2 linked regions of the Arabidopsis thaliana genome follow. The protein of the gene in region 2 purifies or fractionates together with the protein of the main gene of each other region. This does not show direct contact. Each region holds a gene or a part of one and is shown on either strand. Other genes may lie near its edges.

The links. The genes of interacting proteins can lie anywhere in the genome.
Region 1: the proteins of AT5G44090 (region 2) and AT3G57890 fractionate together in Arabidopsis thaliana (co-fractionation; one large-scale study listed by BioGRID). This does not show direct contact.

The regions. Positions count from the first base shown.
Region 1 is NC_003074.8:21,435,498-21,443,473, forward strand, and holds AT3G57890 (Tubulin binding cofactor C domain-containing protein), read left to right. Parts: upstream 1-2,586; 5' UTR 2,587-2,773; coding exon 2,774-3,280; intron 3,281-3,791; coding exon 3,792-3,899; intron 3,900-3,987; coding exon 3,988-4,128; intron 4,129-4,273; coding exon 4,274-4,648; intron 4,649-4,733; coding exon 4,734-4,838; intron 4,839-4,967; coding exon 4,968-5,108; intron 5,109-5,446; coding exon 5,447-5,650; intron 5,651-5,761; coding exon 5,762-5,854; intron 5,855-5,948; coding exon 5,949-6,060; intron 6,061-6,154; coding exon 6,155-6,198; 3' UTR 6,199-6,391; downstream 6,392-7,976. Other genes in the region: AT3G57900 (import inner membrane translocase subunit Tim17/Tim22/Tim23 family protein), read right to left, coding at 6,784-6,888, 6,976-7,077; AT3G57910 (D111/G-patch domain-containing protein), read left to right, coding at 7,274-7,399, 7,566-7,976.
Region 2 is NC_003076.8:17,741,421-17,751,044, forward strand, and holds AT5G44090 (Calcium-binding EF-hand family protein), read right to left. Parts: upstream 7,106-9,624; 5' UTR 6,490-7,105; coding exon of another isoform or gene 6,340-6,489; 5' UTR 6,175-6,339; coding exon 5,920-6,174; intron 5,832-5,919; coding exon 5,592-5,831; intron 5,241-5,591; coding exon 5,135-5,240; intron 5,033-5,134; coding exon 4,933-5,032; intron 4,482-4,932; coding exon 4,376-4,481; intron 4,257-4,375; coding exon 4,166-4,256; intron 3,816-4,165; coding exon 3,674-3,815; intron 3,377-3,673; coding exon 3,229-3,376; intron 3,117-3,228; coding exon 3,007-3,116; intron 2,576-3,006; coding exon 2,419-2,575; intron 2,318-2,418; coding exon 2,192-2,317; intron 1,985-2,191; coding exon 1,844-1,984; 3' UTR 1,831-1,843; intron 1,692-1,830; 3' UTR 1,346-1,691; downstream 1-1,345. Other genes in the region: ckl7 (casein kinase I-like 7), read right to left, coding at 8,034-8,339, 8,425-8,558, 8,659-8,722, 8,815-8,900, 8,998-9,124, 9,222-9,306, 9,398-9,461, 9,547-9,608.

The DNA.
Region 1 (7,976 bases), on a different chromosome or scaffold from region 2:
CTACCGACTAATGTTGGGTAGACATAATTAGTTTACAAAATGTTCTTTTTCCATTTGTCACCAAAGTTTTCTTCATTATTTTATGAAACAAGACTTGGGCAGTTGGACATATATACTATATTAGTAGTTAAATTGCATATGTTTGATCTGTTGATTTGTATATTCAGTTCTTAAACTAAATAACAAGTACTAACTATATTTCAGTATTTGTATATAATCATTTAGTATCGAAACGGTCTCGTGGTCGTGGCACCTTTAATTGCTGAGAGGGCCGTCTTTTACTTTTCGTTCTAGCTTTATGATGTGCCACCGAGTAGTTAAGAGAATGCTTCTGCTCCAAGTATTTTGACATAATTTAATCAAAAGTATTAGCTACTTTACACGGACAATAATCTAATTTTATAATTAGAGTAAGATAGAAATTAAAGAAGATATTGGTAGTCGTTGCAAATGACACGTGTTGATCATGCTTTGCTCGCATTTGTATAGCTTCGACTTGAAGGATTTCAGTCCACCGTACGTTTACCACGATCGAGTCACCCACTACGGTCATAACTAATACTATAATTTGATAAGTGTAATAAGAAGACAAATGATAAAAAAAAAAGAAGAAGACAAATTTGCTAAGATGACAGTTTGTAATCCATATCTTATCACATCTACAAGAGAGATATATACAACTCTTTTTCTTAAGAGATGATTAATGCGTTAAACAAGTTTAACCAGTTATCAAAAATATGTAAATCTTTTCTCCAGAGGTTTAAAGACAACGTCACGGTAATTGTTTCGTCGAAAAATGACTATTTTAAACTGTACGGTTCATGGTCACTTTTTGTGTATTTACATAAAGAAAAAATATTAAATTTTATACTCAGAATTAGGTATGGGCACGAAGCGGATATCCGGAAAAATTATGATATTTGTTATTCGATTCGTTTTAAACGAATACTTGATTTTGTGATTCGCTTTACTTCGAAAATTTCCAGATATCCGGAATTTCGAATATCCGGAATTTTTTGTGATATTTGCGGATATCCGCTTTGATACATTTAAATATTAAAAAAATATGTATACTATATAACTATATCATATATTCAAAAAATTTATCCGTGCGTTCCTTAATTGGTGTCTCCGTGTGCTTTTAAAATAAGTTCTAAATACCAAACATAACCGTTGTTGGTATCACCGGTCAACAAAATATTATCAAACTAATTCCAAAACTAAAACCCGATAGTTTTTTGATGCCATTGATCAAAACATAACATAAAAAAAAATGATCAAACAAACATCTTAACATAAAAACATAAAATGACAACAATACACAAACTATTTATGATATCTATATATAGATATACTATATTTTCTAATATATATAAAAAGATACGGATCGAAGCGGATATTCGATTTTTTAAAAAACAATATTTATTATTTGATTCGATTTTTACGAATACTATATTTTTCTATTTGCTTTGCTCCAAAATCTTACGAATATTCGGATTTTTCGAATCAAATTAAATCAAATACCGAATCGAAACGGATCAAATCAAATCAAATCAGAATATTGAGCTAGCTGAATGAATGAGATAACCTAAGAATCCAAAAGTTGATAGTGTTCCCTTTCCGAATTCCAATAGTAGCTTGATAACATTTATTTAACGGCGATAAATTCAACCGTTAGTTTGATTACCAATCAAATAATTGCTTGCAATAGACGGATGAAACGAGTGGTAAGAATAGGTGATTGAAACAAACGGTTAAAAGCTTAAACAAAATAGGTGAGTTTGCAACCTCTCTTGTTCACCATTGGAATATTTTAGTTATTTAACGTTTCTTAGATTTTTAAAACTGTAATGTATTTGAATTATTTACTAAAGAGTTTTGTTTTTCTTTGTTTTTTAAATATTTTTAGTTATTTATTAAATATTTTAATTTAGTTTTTTTTTTTTACTGTTTAACCGTTTGTTACTAATCATAACTATTATTTAACGGTTCATTTTAAATTATTTATCATTTTTTCTTTTAATATATTTTCTAACCGTTTTTTTTTATCAGTCTTTTTTGTAAGTGTTAAATAAAATAACCGCCTTATTTAAACGATATTACCAATTGGTTTAATTTTAGGTTGTTCATCTTTTCTAACCGTTTTTTTCTACCCGCCTTTTTCTGTAACTGCTAAAAAACATAACCGTCTCATTTAAACGATGTTTACCCATTGCAAACCATTTTCCTTAAACAAGCGGACAATATTTAAATTGCAATGAAAGCGAGTTATGAGTTCTTTTGGCCTAAACTTCCCAATTTTATCTCTCTTTTTCCCACTAATCTTCTAACAATTTTAATTAACAGTGACAACTTACAAGTACTTAGGTAACCAAGTATATTTCCCTATTGTAAAACCTAATTATGAGTTGTGATGATCACCTTTTCTCCTTTTGACGAACGCTTAGGACCTAACTTATTGCAACAATGGCCTAACTAAAACTTAAATGCGATTTGCATTCAATTCTCAAATGGGCCTCTTTAGTTAACATGTTATCTCCGTTCATCTGACGTGTCATAGCTCAGATCAAAGGTTAATCTACTCGTAAATCCAACGACCAAAGAAACGAAGCGTACGTTACTAACATACACGTGCACGCACTGTAACCATCTCTCTCTCTGCTCTTCTCCTTCAATGAAATGATTCGTCACCCAAAGAAAGATCTGCAACTTCACCACCGGACCAGTCTCTCTCTATCTCTTCTGTCTCTCTACCTCGCGCGACGAATCAATCATGACTGAAGAACAAGACCTCATCGACCAATCACCACCACCTTCAGCACCCGACCCTGAACCAAACTCGAGCACGAATCCGAATTCAGTAATCCATCCAAGGCGTGTGTCTTTCGAGCACGGACTCCTCCCGATCCAGAAACTCGTTTTCACCGACCCGATCCAAACCTTAGCCCCTGTCAAGCAGAAGCTAGCCGATGCGGCTTCGAATAACCGCGTTGGATCGGCTGCAATCGCCGACGTTCTCCAGATCTCCGGCGACCATGCGCGTCTCGTTCTCGAGACTCTCGGTTCGGTGCTTCATTCCGAGTCTGACCCTCTGGTTCGGGCGAAACCTGAGGAAGTTGATTCCGTCGGAGCTGATTTGCGGGATCTTATTTTGTTCCTGTACATTCAATCGTATAAGAAGTTGCTTCCTAGGACGCATAAGGACTCCGCAGCGGTGGCTGATGTTTGGCCATCGACTTCAGCTTTTGATGGATACTTGTCTGCGTTATCGCCAATTCAGGCAAGTTTCTTACTTTTTTTGGCCCTCTTATTATAATGTGCCTCAATCCCAGCGCCTGCGATTTGTTTGGTATTGAAATGGAACTGTTGTACTCGAGTATGGAATTGGAACGTGGTAGAGAATAACTTATTTCCATTTCGCATTGTATTTAACTAAAATTTGCAATGCAAGTTTAAGTTTTCTGAGTCATTTGATTTACCTGAAACTTAGAGTTAAGCAATGTCGGAAATTTGGGTGATTAATTGAATTGATGGTGGCTATAGTTTCGTAACAATTCTCAATGAGGAAGATGCTTACTTGTATTTAATTGCCAGTCCCCTTTCTCTGATGACTCTGGGGCAATGGTAATTGGTTAGTTTACTAACTAAAGTCAAACAGTCGCCAGCTTGCTTTGTTTTGTGGTTCGGAATCTGATTCTTTTTCCGTTGTACCTTATTTTGTTTGGTCCTTTCACGTGGTTTATTTGGTGATAATGCTTGGTGTGTTCTTGAATTTTGACTCGGGTCTCCAGTCCTGTAATATTCTGTTTCCTGTGTGGTATGGATGTTCTATTGAGTCTTTTAGAAAACAGTCATATAATCTTAAGCTTTTCAGTGTTTTCTACAGTCACTGTTCTTTGGTATTCTATCGTTTCTCATCACATGGGTCGAACCAACTTTATTGGAGCTAAAATTGTTATTTATATCTCCTTTTCATCATTTCTGCAGCTTGTTCGCAGCAACAGCCGTCGATTTATGCCATCACAGGCAGATGATGAAGCTCATCAGTTGTCATATCTGCAAAAACATTTAGCAAACATCATTTCTCTCCTTGCAGAGCCTGTGGAGGGAGAAGGAGATGAATCATTGGTAAGTTCTAATCTTTCTTATATTCTCAGGGGGTGTCACTGTTCTAAGCTACAAGAATATAAAATTCTGATGTTGGAATAAGAATTTTTTAGGAAATGAAAGAGAACACAAGTTAATTTTTTTTTTCTTGTCCAATATCGTTCAGGTTTTCTCTATGGAGGCGTTCGAGCATCTGCGTTTTCTTGTTCAGTTTGGTGATAAGGGATCTGATGTATCTCCATTGAGCCAAGCTACTCCTTTTTTTGCAAATTCTGATCCGGATATGCCCGCTGTTCCAGTCCCCGCTTCCCAAGTGCATGACTGGCTTCTGCAAAACATAGCTTCCGCTTTAGAAAGCATTACTGAGAGAATTTCTGGAAAAGAGAACGGACCTTCTAACGATCAAGATGATGCGATGTCAGATGTTTGTGCTGCTCCGAACAAGGTTGCACCTAGTACTAGAGGCCCGTGTTTAATCGAGGGAGTCTCCAAGACTTCACTTGTTAAGCAAGCCTCCGATCTAAGGGGTAGATCTGTGAAGGTCTGACTGTTCCTTGTTCCGTTTTTCTTCCAGTCATGGAATCTCTGTGCAAGCATGTCAACTCCTTGTTTTGTGTATTTTTCAGGTTGTCAATTGCCATGATTCTGTAATTTATCTTTTAGCACCATTGCGATATGCAACTGTGCACGGATGTTCTGATACTACTATAGTTTTGGGAGCTGTTGGCAAGGTATGGAAACAATGCTTCTTCCTTCTTTATCTTTTCTGAAGATAGTCAAAGCAACATTTAACAAGTTATAATATCTGCCAACTTTTATTAAAAGATGTATCAAACATAATTCCGTATTTATTTCTGCAGGCAATAAAAGTTGAGCACTGTGAAAGAGTTCATGTGATTGTAGCTGCCAAACGAGTGTGCATTGCCAATTGTCGTGAATGTGTATTCTTCTTGGGAGTCAATCAGCGGCCACTTATTGTTGGTGATAACCACAAACTGCAGGTGAAGCTTCTCTTTAAGATTGTGGTTTAATTTACAAGTTTTATGTCATGTTGCTCTTATTTACCTTTCTGATATTAAGGTAAAAAAAATTGAGTGGCTAGACTTTTTACTAGATTTAGTTTGGTTAGTTTGGTTAATAAGCCGTTTCGGACACGTCATCAAGTCTAGTGGAAACAAACTTGGAGGGGTGGCTAGACTGCTGCTAGATACGTTTAGTCAAATGTTTTCCTCAAGAAGGTTTTACTGGTTTTTAAGAGTGCGGGCATTGTCAGATATTGCTTCTAGTGATTATGGGCTTCTATTTTTAAAGTGCTGGCATCAATTTGACTTTGTTTCAGGTCGCTCCATATAATACATTTTACTCTCATTTGGAAGAGCACATGAGGGAGGTAGGGCTTGAGCCAACGATCAACAAATGGGACAAACCATTGGCCCTGGGAGCTGTGGATCCACATGACTCCCTGTCACATCCTGCCGGTGTTGCTGATGCACAGGCTGAATCAGCTGCTTCTGTAGACCCTGACCAGTTCGTAAACTTTTTGGTACATTTTCTATTTGGGTCTAACATTTACGTCAATAATTGGTGAATGCTTTTCAGTGTCATGAAGCATCTAATGACGTGTTTTTCGGTGGTATCAATGACAATGGCACAGATCCCAAACTGGTTTAGCGGCGCGGAGCTTGGTTCGACGAAAGACAATCCATTTCCATTGCCAGATGCTTATATGGCAGCTCAGCAGAGAAACGTATGTTTTAAAGTTATACTTAACCAGATAAACAAATGCATTTGTTATTTTTGTCCATATCTGATCTTGTATCTGCAATTTTTTTTGTCATCAGCTTAAGAACTTTGAAGAAACAAGACGATCGTTAAAAGAGGCGCCTCTAGAAGAAAACCGGAAACGAGAGCTATCAAGTGCACTCCATGTTTATTTCAAAGACTGGCTTTACGGTAAGAAAACTTTCTCTGAATCGATCCCTACTTTACTTTATTGATATGCATCATTCATTAGGTTTTGACTTAGTCTATGTTTTTGTTGCGACAGCATCTGGAAATATAAGGCAACTCTACTGCCTACAAGGTGACTAATAAGAATAATAGACCAAGCGGAAAGTGTCTTGTTCATGTAGAGCTCCTTCGATCATATTTGGCATATTGCTAGTGAAGAAACCCCACCCCAAGACCAAAAGAAAAAAGAAAAAAGAGAAATCAGCCTGATTCAGTGATTTGTAGTTTGGAACCAATACTTCACAACGTAACTTATCTGCACAGAAATACTCTCTTAAAGCTTTCGTTTAGATTATTGTTTTCTTGATTTCTGCTTTTCTTTCCTTGACATTTCAATCCATCGTTTTTGTTCCCTTCTCTATTGAAAATCTCATCTTCAAATAGAGCATGATGACTTGAATTGTTATAAGTTATAACTTGTAAGCAAAACTGTTTTGATAGATAGTCTTGTCTTGGTCAAATAGATTTAAGTGGACGCAAGAGTTAGGCTACTACCATGGTAGGTGCAAATTTCTGAAGAAGTTTTAGAGCTCCAAAATTTCTCATATTTGCAGAATCTCATATTCGTAGAAACATCCAAACAATGCAACATAACATGAACATCTCAAGATACAAAAACAGAAGGACATGGGATGGAACAGAGATATCCATGAGCGCAGGATCCAGCTAATAATGAGTTCTTGCTACTTTAGTCATTGTAATGTGTGCTCCATTGAAGAAATCTCTCTTAGCTCTAAAGTTCTGCACCAACTGTTCAACACCAATGAACACCTCCAATGGCAGCAAAAGTCAGCCCGTGGCTTCCCATCATCTTCAACGTTCTGATGAGTCCTGGAAGAGCAACGTTTCTTTCAATACGAGGGACGTCTTTCCAGTTGCAAAACCAGTCACAGCATCTTTGAATGTCTTCATCATCGCTCCATTTTCCTCTTCCAAGTATCTCATTTCTGTAGGATCCATGATAATTTCTTCAACCGATAAAGCTTAGTCCTTTTTATGTCAAACGTGATCTAACAAAGAAAATTGGCAGCAACGACATAGTGGAGAACACAGCCAAATACTATTATTATTGGGCCTAATTAAAGCCCATTAATGATTCTCTTTTTTTTTTTGTTGTTCTCCCTTCCTCTCAGCGCGAACGCAAGCTCCGTCGGCAATGGCAGAATCGACGAGAAATCTGACTGGGCTTGGAGGAGAAGCAGCGAAAGAAGAAGATGATGAGTACATGGGAGACCTTTCTCAGTTTATTCCTCAGGAACTTAGCCAGACCTCCAAAAGAAAGGTATCTTCAGGCCAAAATTTTCATCTTCTTATGTCCACAATTGTCAAGCTCCTGAATCCAAATTTGTCCAACTGATTTTGAATAATCTCCAACAAATTTCGTTTAGTTTGATAGCTGAATGAGATTTTGGGATTATATTTAAATTCGTATATAAATGCTTTTGCAGGAATCTGAGAAGAAAACTGTAATCGTAGAACCATCACGGAAGAAGTTAAAAAATCTCAATTGGCACGAGAGACGAAGATTGGAGAAAGAGAGGAAACAGATAGAAGAAGATGAGCAGACATTGGCTCGTATAGTAGACACTCCAATAGGAGAGTCTAACATAGGGTTTAAGCTATTGAAGCAAATGGGTTACAAGCCAGGTTCTGCTCTTGGTAAACAAGGCTCTGGTAGAGCTGAGCCAGTGACTATGGATATTCGAAGATCGAGAGCCGGTGTGGGAAGAGAGGATCCACATAAGGAGAAGAAGAAAAAGGAGGAGATTGAGGCTGAGAATGAGAAGAGAAAAGTGGATGAGATGTTGGAGGATTTTGGGTCTAGACAGAAGTCTCAATGGCGTAAGAAAAGAGTTTTG
Region 2 (9,624 bases):
ATCGAGAAGATCATCTTAACAGAGTTAAATGAACAAACCTCTGTGGACAGCGATTTCTGGACACGTACTTCTTTACTCTTTTATCTCAGTTTACTTGAACTTATCTCTAAGTTTTTTGCTATCAAATTCTATGGCTTTTGAAAAGGAATGACCCTGTTCTTTTTGTAATCGATACGTCAGCGATCGGCGACTGATTTTTTTTTAACTTACTTGCGTGTAATGTATGTAGAGACTAACAGGGGCGGACGCAAGTGTATGAGTACTGGGGCACGTGCCCCATGCAAGATTTGATAATTTTGAAGTTTGATGTGCAATTTGTATTGGAGATGAAAGAATTCGTTTGTTGTGCCCCATGTTATAGTGATTTTTTTTCTAATCAGTTGGTTATTACTCATTATTTTTACTATTTTCAAGTAATAAATGTTTTCAGTATTTAACTTATTTTTCCAAATTTATCTTTTTCTATAACTCTTTGAAAGAATTATGCTAATACAAGGACACTTCAATTTTTTCTTTTTCCATTTACATGTCTTTTAAAAAATGTTTATATTGTATTTTATTTTTAAAATTTATATGTTAGCTATGTTGTGCCCCAGGTTAATTATGGTTCTAGATCCGCCACTGGAGACTAACATCATCATTCTCATGAAAAGAGTCGCAACGACTATAAAAGTGATCGCCGTTTAGTCTAGTGATGCCGACGATACCAACATCTCATGTAAAAGTGGTCGCAACGACACCCTTACTATTTATTCTCCGTTTTCTTTAGAGAGGCTTCTCCGTAAAGAAAAATACAGAAGCTACACGATCTTGACAAACTCTCAAATGTTTGATTTTGCAAGGAAAGAAAAAAAGTAATAATGAGAAGAGAGAGAAAGAGAGTGAAAAGAAGAAGCGACGAAGAAGAAGAAAAAAAAAGGAACGTGGAAAGATGAAACTTTTTTTTTTTATTATAATTTCTTAATTTTCAGAGATAAATTGGTCAAAAGTTTAATGAAAAAGTTGGAAAAGTGCTTCATCCGTGACAAGTGCCTCAAAAAGAATAAAATTCTTTAAAAATGTCTAAACGTGTCAAATTCCCTTATTTTTAACCGCCATAGAAAGTGAGTTCATGCTTGTTAAAACAAAATGCACGACTTTTTAACACATCTTCCAAAATATCATATTGACAAACAAAGTTTTAATGATTCTTATACAAACAAATAACCAATGTCGGCTCAAACCAATCAAAAACTGATATATAGTATATAATTTGATTTGATATTCTATAGTTTATACGAGAATTGTAGTTGATATCATAGGCACAAATTTGCTAATGAGGAAAAAGCAAAAACAATGATCATGTAAAACAAGTTTCAAGGTTTGTAAATTTCTTCCCACAAAAAAAAGTGTCTTTGTACATAGTTCTTTCGATTTTAAATAAAACCGTTGTTGTTGGTTCCACAAAACACTATAAAGCGGCGTATATAATAATATACATAAGATTGAAAGAGGGTCCAACCTGAGAAACCTAAGCAAGACAAATATTTCATGAAACTAACACAAGCTTACGCATCGGATAAGTCTCTTGGTCGCCAATCTCTAGGTGGAACCGTGGAATGGACTGGCTTTCGTGGTTGTCTGTCTGAAAATTGTTTCCGAGGCTCTTACCACCCAAGAAGATCTGACTTCTCCCTCTTCTTCCCAAGAAACTAGTAAAAAAAGCAACGAAAACGGCTTTTAATACGTTTAATATACCAAAAGATACAAACTTGTAACATTGAGCACATCAATTTTGCTATTTCATACATGCATAAGGAACATGATGCTGACCAGTGTTGAACAAAGTACCTCTTACGAGTCACTAAAATGGAGATTCGAGTGGTTCATCCCAAACATCTGCACTCCCATTCGAGACTTCCTCCACATCTTCCTCCATTGACAACCTCACATACTCTCTCTGAGCAAATCGGTCCCATTCCGTCAATGTTGGATTCTCACGTTCCTGTCAAATGGAAAACAAAGTTGGTTTAGAAGTAGCAGAGACTGGAACAGATACAACCGGCTGCAGTAGTAGGTGACTATCTGAACTTATAATAATTTTTGCGAATTTTTATGGCATTAATAAATATTCAGTAGTAACAGTTTCAACAGCTAAACGAAGGATTGAATAACCAAAGGGAGGAAAACTCTATAGAAAACCTATGTTTACCTGACGAATGAGAAAAGGGTCACGGGTTTCAAACGCCATGAATTTGTTCAGGTTAAAGAGTATATTGAAAATATTTCCAGAAAGTTTGGATGCTTTCAGATCCTGGAGTGTGATGCAGTTCTCCTTCTGAAAGAGTCATTCGACAAATTGATGATGCGAATAAGAGCAAAGGAACAGACAAGCCAGGAATATCAAAAGACCATGTTATGGTTTAAAAGAAATTTTGCCTCTGGTTTAATCATGTCGAATATTTGACATAGGATATCTTCAAAGAGTACAGGTTCCTGGGTTATACATTCCATGCGATGCAGCTGCTCTTCGTAGAAAAACTGCATCTCGTTGGGAGTGATCACCCCATCTCCATCTAGGTCTATGCACTTGAACCTGCAAAGATGGTTTTAATCAATATCAAGGGAAAACGAAAAACAAAAAACTGCCAAGAACCTGTGTTTAACATCGATGGGAGATAGATGAGCATACCAGCGAGGTATGCCCTCATATCAGCGGTTCAACTGAAAATGTTCTAGATTCATGAGATGATGAATGAAAATGTTCTAGGTTCATGAGATGATGAATGAAAATGTCTTAGATTCAAGATGGGTATCCTATGTTCATGAAATAATAGTACTACTAAATGTTTAGTGCGTTCAAAATATCAGGTAGGCTTGTATCATCAAGAAGGCCACATATGCCACAAGTTTTGGCTCAGAAGTTATACATTTATAGTGACATACTGTGAGCTAAGCAGCTAAAGGACAAAATGGCTAAAGAGAAGTCACTAAAGACAAAAAGAGAAGAGGGGAAGAGACATGTACCAATACTCAAGACTAGGCTCAGATGACTTATCCTCCTCAGCGAGAATAAAGTATGCAAAATCTTCATAACTCATCTTCCCCTCAACTTTGCTTGTAAATTTCCTAGGAACCTGAGTGAGAGACAGCCGTAATTTCAATTAAGAAAGAAGGAAACACACTCCATAAGATAACAATTAAGTTTCGAGAAAAGTGTTCATTAACATTTTGACAACTGGAGCCAACCTGTGAAAATATTCTGTCGACAATCCTGTAGGTAAGGGCATGATTACCATATTTGATGAGATTTTCCTTATCAATAAGGAAATCATGGTCGCCATCGAGTTCCCAAAATCTGCAGTATATCACGTAGAAATGCTCATAGGAGAAGTACCTGAAAAGTAAAGAAAAGGTCATATTGAATGGTCAAATCATGCATGATGTCTTGCCACAGTATCACAATATGAACTACCAATACACTTCTTCCTCTTTATGAGTTTTATGGGTAGTGCTTATGTCTAAGAAACAATTCGAAGACCTATGCACTACCCATATTACTCACAATGCTACACACCTTGCTGAGCTTGAATTCTTAAACAACTTAAAGTGGTCTTTATTATACAAATAAAACTAAAATCTTAATCTTTTTAACGTATTGTTTAAGAAATAATGAAAAGGAAAACAAAGTCACCTAATAACTTTATTGATGTCGTCTTCTTCATCAACTTGTTGCATGGCAGTAATAAGATTCCCACGCTTCAGCTCTCTAAGAGTAATGCAACCAGTACCTGATCTGTTTATGTAGTAAAATATTCTGTAGATGACGGTCTCAGCTGGGTTGACGGAATAGAACACAGAGATGAATGAAACAAGCACGGGAAAAATTATGAATTAGTCAATAGATGTATAAAACAGTAAGCACCTGAAAATATACTATATTTAAGAAGCATCTCATAATTTTCAAAATGTAATTATAATGAACAAGTACATAGAATTAAAATTAGAAGAATTATTGCCTAGGCCAATCAAGCCAGCTAAAGATGTCACTTTCAAGTTCGTCAATGCGTTTTGAAAGATCATATATATATGGAAAGAAATTGTACGAACGTCTTAGTAGAAAACAGACATTCTGGTAGAACTATTTCACACCATAACATCAATGTATCAAAAACCAAGTTCTTACCATATCTTTCTTGAAACTCAGGTGTATTCCTCAGGAATTCCAAGCCGGGATGAGTTGTCAGAAGCTCATCAAGAACTGGTTTGAAGTCAGCCTATCCCAAATCCAAAAGAAGACATTAGCCTTCAGGACTAAAGAAATCAAGTGAGACAATAATCATTGGTAAACAAATCAAAACAGCAGTGAAGAGCTGGGAAAAGAAAACAAAGAGACCTGTCTAAGGTACTTGCAACCTGGCTGCCTTAAAATATTATATATCTGTGAGGCTACGTCCATTGCCAACATATGTCCATCAACCCAATACTTGATAAATGCATCCCTGCAGGAACCAAATATGGTGTATTTAAAAGATACTAGCTAAACAGAAAGATTACAGCTGCTGTATATTTCTATGATATTACTCATGATTTGGCTAATTTAAAGATGTATCAATTCCAAACAATATCTACAGGGTAGAAACTTCAATATTACTTATCACAAATGTTCTAAACAATATATAAAATCGAGCACACTAAATTTATTGAAAGTAAAAAGAAATTATATTCGAGTGGCATAAATAAATAAAAAGATAACAATCAGGTATTAAAATTACTATGCCACATTCCATTTCTTTTAAGGGTGAGCAATTTATGAAACAAATAGCTGAGCGTGCATCTGGAAATCCAGACCAATGTGATCTATTATTATATTACATGAAACACATATGAATACCAGTGGATATATACATTTAACTACAATTACATATGAAAAGAAAGAACACAATGATTTACCTTGTAACGATACCGGTGCCACTCGTGTCTATCTTTCTAAATAGTACAGAGGAAAGAAAAGAAGGCAGCTTGCAGACTTCTTTAGTAATGGATTTGAATTCTGCAATTGAACAATAGCAAGAATGTGTTTGTAAGATCAACTGTTTGTCTATTCATTACAGAACGGGACTGTGATGTAAAAAAGCTTGTATTTAAACATCACCATCCATATGAAGTCCGTCTATATAGTTACTAAAAAATTGATCAACCATGGATATACATTGCTCCCTTAGTTCCTTCGCAGGTGGACGTCCATGTTGGAAGTAAAACTGCATAGCATATCAAGGCATAGAAGCGTCAAACAAGAATGTTGAACAATATTAGCTAAACCCTTCAACTATGTAAGATGTCAAACGGATGACCATAATAAACTTACTTGTTGTCATCGTTTTGTTAAAAAAAAAATTGTACCTATGCTACTTGAACGAAGAATTTAGTTTCTATTGTATTTGTTCTCGTGGTTCTCCATCTACTTAGAAAACTATTACAGTCTAGTTTCAACAATTACGTGAGCATATATAAAACAATCAAATCATGATGTCAACTGTCAAGCAAGGTAGTGCCTTCTCATGTTGTTTGTAAGACATCCATATGAGGAGCAGTTGGATAAAAAATCGAACCTGTGGAATGAGTTGGCGCTTTGGTTCCCTGACTGATTTCAGAGGAGACTGTAGAGAAGGGCTTGTCTTTTGCCTCGAGAAACGGGGAGACCCAGGTGAGCCTCGTGGGGATAGTGGGGGAGTGCCGCTGTTCAGAAAAACAGATGGCAATGCACTCCCGCAAGCAACATTGAGACTAGTACAATTTTTGGATACACTGACTGGGGTACTAGATTTAGTATCATCAATTAAAGACTTGACCTGCACAAACATCACACAGATGAACTGTTAAAAGAGGACCACGTAAAACCTTAAACGAAAAACAACCACCAAAAGTTTCTTCACCAACATGAGTCGGCAATCGGCATACAACACTGGACCATATTCTCAGGAGCTTTAAGTTAAATCTGGTACTACACAAATACAAACACTTCTCAAGTTTAGCAGAGCCTTGTAATATCCCAGTACTATTATCACCTAAGTCATTATAACCCCTAAATGTGCTATTCAAGCACTCTTTATCTAACACTAAGTAAAATCTATAAGAAATAAACAAAACTACTAAATATGCAACAGCCGAGGATTCAGTAAGAGCAATAAGCATGTTGAATCTTGCTCTGCAGAAATTGACTTGAAATCAGATAAAGTCACAACAAGGACTTACGAACAGGTATCAGCATATACATAAAACAGGCGCCAACTATTAAATGAACAAGAAACCAAACGACGCTAAGGAGCCACTGAGCCAGAGGCTTGGGAATAAAATTACCAATCGGCCAGTTTCAGGAAGTGAAAGCCACTGGGAGAAGAGTTCTTCAGCAATATGAGGATTTTCTTTAAGTGATACAGGAGACAAACCGGGAAGCTGCAAGAGCTCAGGATCCAAAATCTGAACATCGTTTCCACCATCGATTTCCATGATTATCTTCTATCTTATTCACTGAGAATCAGAACTACAACAAAACCCCAATATCGGAATTCCTTGAGTCAATTCTAAAATTGGATCGAAACCCTAATTTCTTCCAATAACTTGAAGCAGTAACTCCAAAACAGGATTCTCAGACTTTTCAAAGATCTATAAGCACGAAATCCAAAGAAAATTCAATAAAAGCAGCTCTGACCAATCGAGAAACTCTCTAACTAGTTGAGAAACACCAGCTCGAAGAAGAGAAACTAAACGAAAACCAAAATAAACGATTCGATAAACCCTAGATTCCCAAATTCTATCAACAAGCAAAACAGAGTCCTATACAAAACTTCTTCTGCAATTCAAGCACAAACGTGGAAGAAATTGGAAGATCCAAAGAACACTGATCTCTCTCTCCGATCAATAACAAGCTCGACGACGAGAGGAAGTCGTAGAGAATTTTTCCAGGGAGATTGTGTTATTGATGAGAAAATGAATTAAAAAGGAAAAAGTATTTAATTTTGATTTTAATACTCTCTCTCAGTCTCAGACGCAGTAGTACTAGCGGTGGTGGTGGTATTTTTGTTTTCCACTTTTAGTCCTCAACGTTGACCAAAAAGTCAACCAAATCCAGCGTTCTTTATCCGTTTTTGCGATCATGTTTATTTGAGTCTCGAGTCAATTAATAAATCGCAGAAATTAGCGATCAAATTGTTTGTTTGGTTGTTAAACTTCATGACGTTTCGACTGTTATCATCAAGATTGCAACTGATTCATTAAAGTCATAAAAATGTGACTTCACATGTGTAAACCTAGTTTTGAAGAATGATGATGAATATTTGTCATTTCTCAAAAATTGTATTGGAGCACTTGCTTTTTTAGTCGAAATGCAAAAGTATGTAGGAGTAGATCATATGAATCTAAAAATGAATGTATTTTATATGTGTAACTTCAATATGAAATTCAGTTTTGCCACTTTATTCGAAGATGAGCGCTAACAAAATGTGAAGAGTTTAACTATAACCATTCAAGTATACGATCAGTGAATAAGTAAACATTTGAAGTATGGAAAAAATAAAAATAAAGAGTTTTAGATTGGAGTCATCTAAAGTATGATTTGACTAAGTAGATGAGCTAATTTTACTATTAAGCCAAAATTTCACCGTTTTTACATGATTTGACCAGAGTATGCCTGCCCCAAAAAAACAGAAGCATTAAAAGAGACCAAAGAGCAGTTGATTGTTTTGTTTATTACAGTACCAGTACAGATAGGTTCGAAGTAATCGAATATACGGATAGAAATTTTACCGTTTTTACATGGAAACTCTCTCTACATTTTTGATTGTTATGTTTGTCTAACACATATCACGATTACATAAACAAAACGAGTGAAAAAGATCTCTGCAAGCTGAAGCTGAAATTACATGTAAAAAGATCTGAGGATTTCATCAGGTTCAAATATATGAATTCCCTCAAACCAAGATTCTCATCTTTCTTCAGAGGTAATTTCTTTGGGTTTTCATGGAGTTTGCTGTCTCTCTCTCCATCATTTTCCTTTATTTCCGAAGAGAGAGAAGCTCGAAGCTTCTTAATTGATCTTCCCGAGTGTTTCTTGCCGCTGTTGCACGAGAGAAAGACAGAGTCTTGGATTCATATCCAGCTTGCACTCTCTGGCTAGTTGAGGGACGGCCATTTCCACTGCCGCTGCCACCACCACCGCTTGAGGAAACCAGACGACTTGAAGTTCGGCTTTCGCTTGGTCCACCTGCAGAACTTGGCCGGGAGCTTGAAGCAGCAACGGCTTTCCTAGAAGAAGATGCTCTATATCTTGAGGAACTGTTTGCTCTTTCGGAGTCTCCATGCTGCACAAATAAAACAAACACAGTTAGGTCTTTGTCTTATTTAGCGGTTCTGATCAACAATGTATGTAAAGAGTAAGATTTTTACTGTCTGCTTAGAGAAAGGTCCGTCGTCTGAGTTTCTTGATCTAGAACGATCTCGAGGCGAAGAAGTTGTAGTCGGGTGTCTTCTGGAGAATGCCTCCACTGCACCTGGGATTTTATATCGGGTTGTTTCCTTTCCTACACGAATGGTAAATAAAAAAAGAGTAGAAATTAGAGTGAGGAATGGATGTGTATGGTTTTGAGATTTTTAATAGAAGTAGGAAAAGCAGAATTTTACCTAGGATCCTCTCTTGTCTTTCAATAGGATCTGCGTTGAATCCGGGTTTCGCTGTTGTATGATGCTGGAAAATCCAAAGATTTACATTTACGTAAGTACAGAGAAACTCAAAAACCATGAGGGTAAAAACACAAGTATAAGATTTTTAATAATCACCCTTGTTCGTGAACTAGAACCAGAGCTGGATCCGATTTGAGGATACTTTAAGACTGTCCAGTCAAATACATAATCGAATTGATAACCTGTAAGAGTTTCAACAATATGAAAAAGATAAGATGAGAGTGGCTTGAAACAGTAAGCGAATAAAATTTCTCGGAATAATGATGTTAAGATAAGAACCTTCTCGGATAAACAAGTCACGGAAAAGCCTCTTGAGGTAAGAGTAATCAGGTTTGTCATCAAACCGTAAAGATCGGCAGTAATGAAAGTATGAAACGAACTCGGACGGTTGGTTTTTACACAATACCTACATCGAAACATTCCAAGCTCAGTTAGAAAAGCTAGATTACCTACCAATGCCAAAATGAAAATCCTTTCGGTTTGTCAAGTTGTTGTAACCTAACCTCTATAGGAGTTGACACTTTTTTCTCGCTGATTCTGTCATACTTCTGCTTCTTTGTCCCAGCTTTTAATCCCTGCCAAGGTAAGCTGATAGCCCAAAAAAACATATGGTTTAAACTCTGTTCAAGAAAATATACAGAATTTTACAGACTCAGGTAGAGAAGCTGTAGACGCTAACCTTCCTTTGAGAAAATACATAAGAACATAACCAAGTGATTCCAAATCATCCCTTCGACTTTGTTCTGTTTAAACATCAGCGAAAACTAATTAAGTATTTGACGGAAAATTTTTATGAATACATATAATTCCACAGATCAACACTCTTACCGACTCCAAGGTGAGTGTTAACACTTGCATACCGAGCTGTCCCAGTAAGATTTTTGTTTTCTCTGCCAAAATATTAGA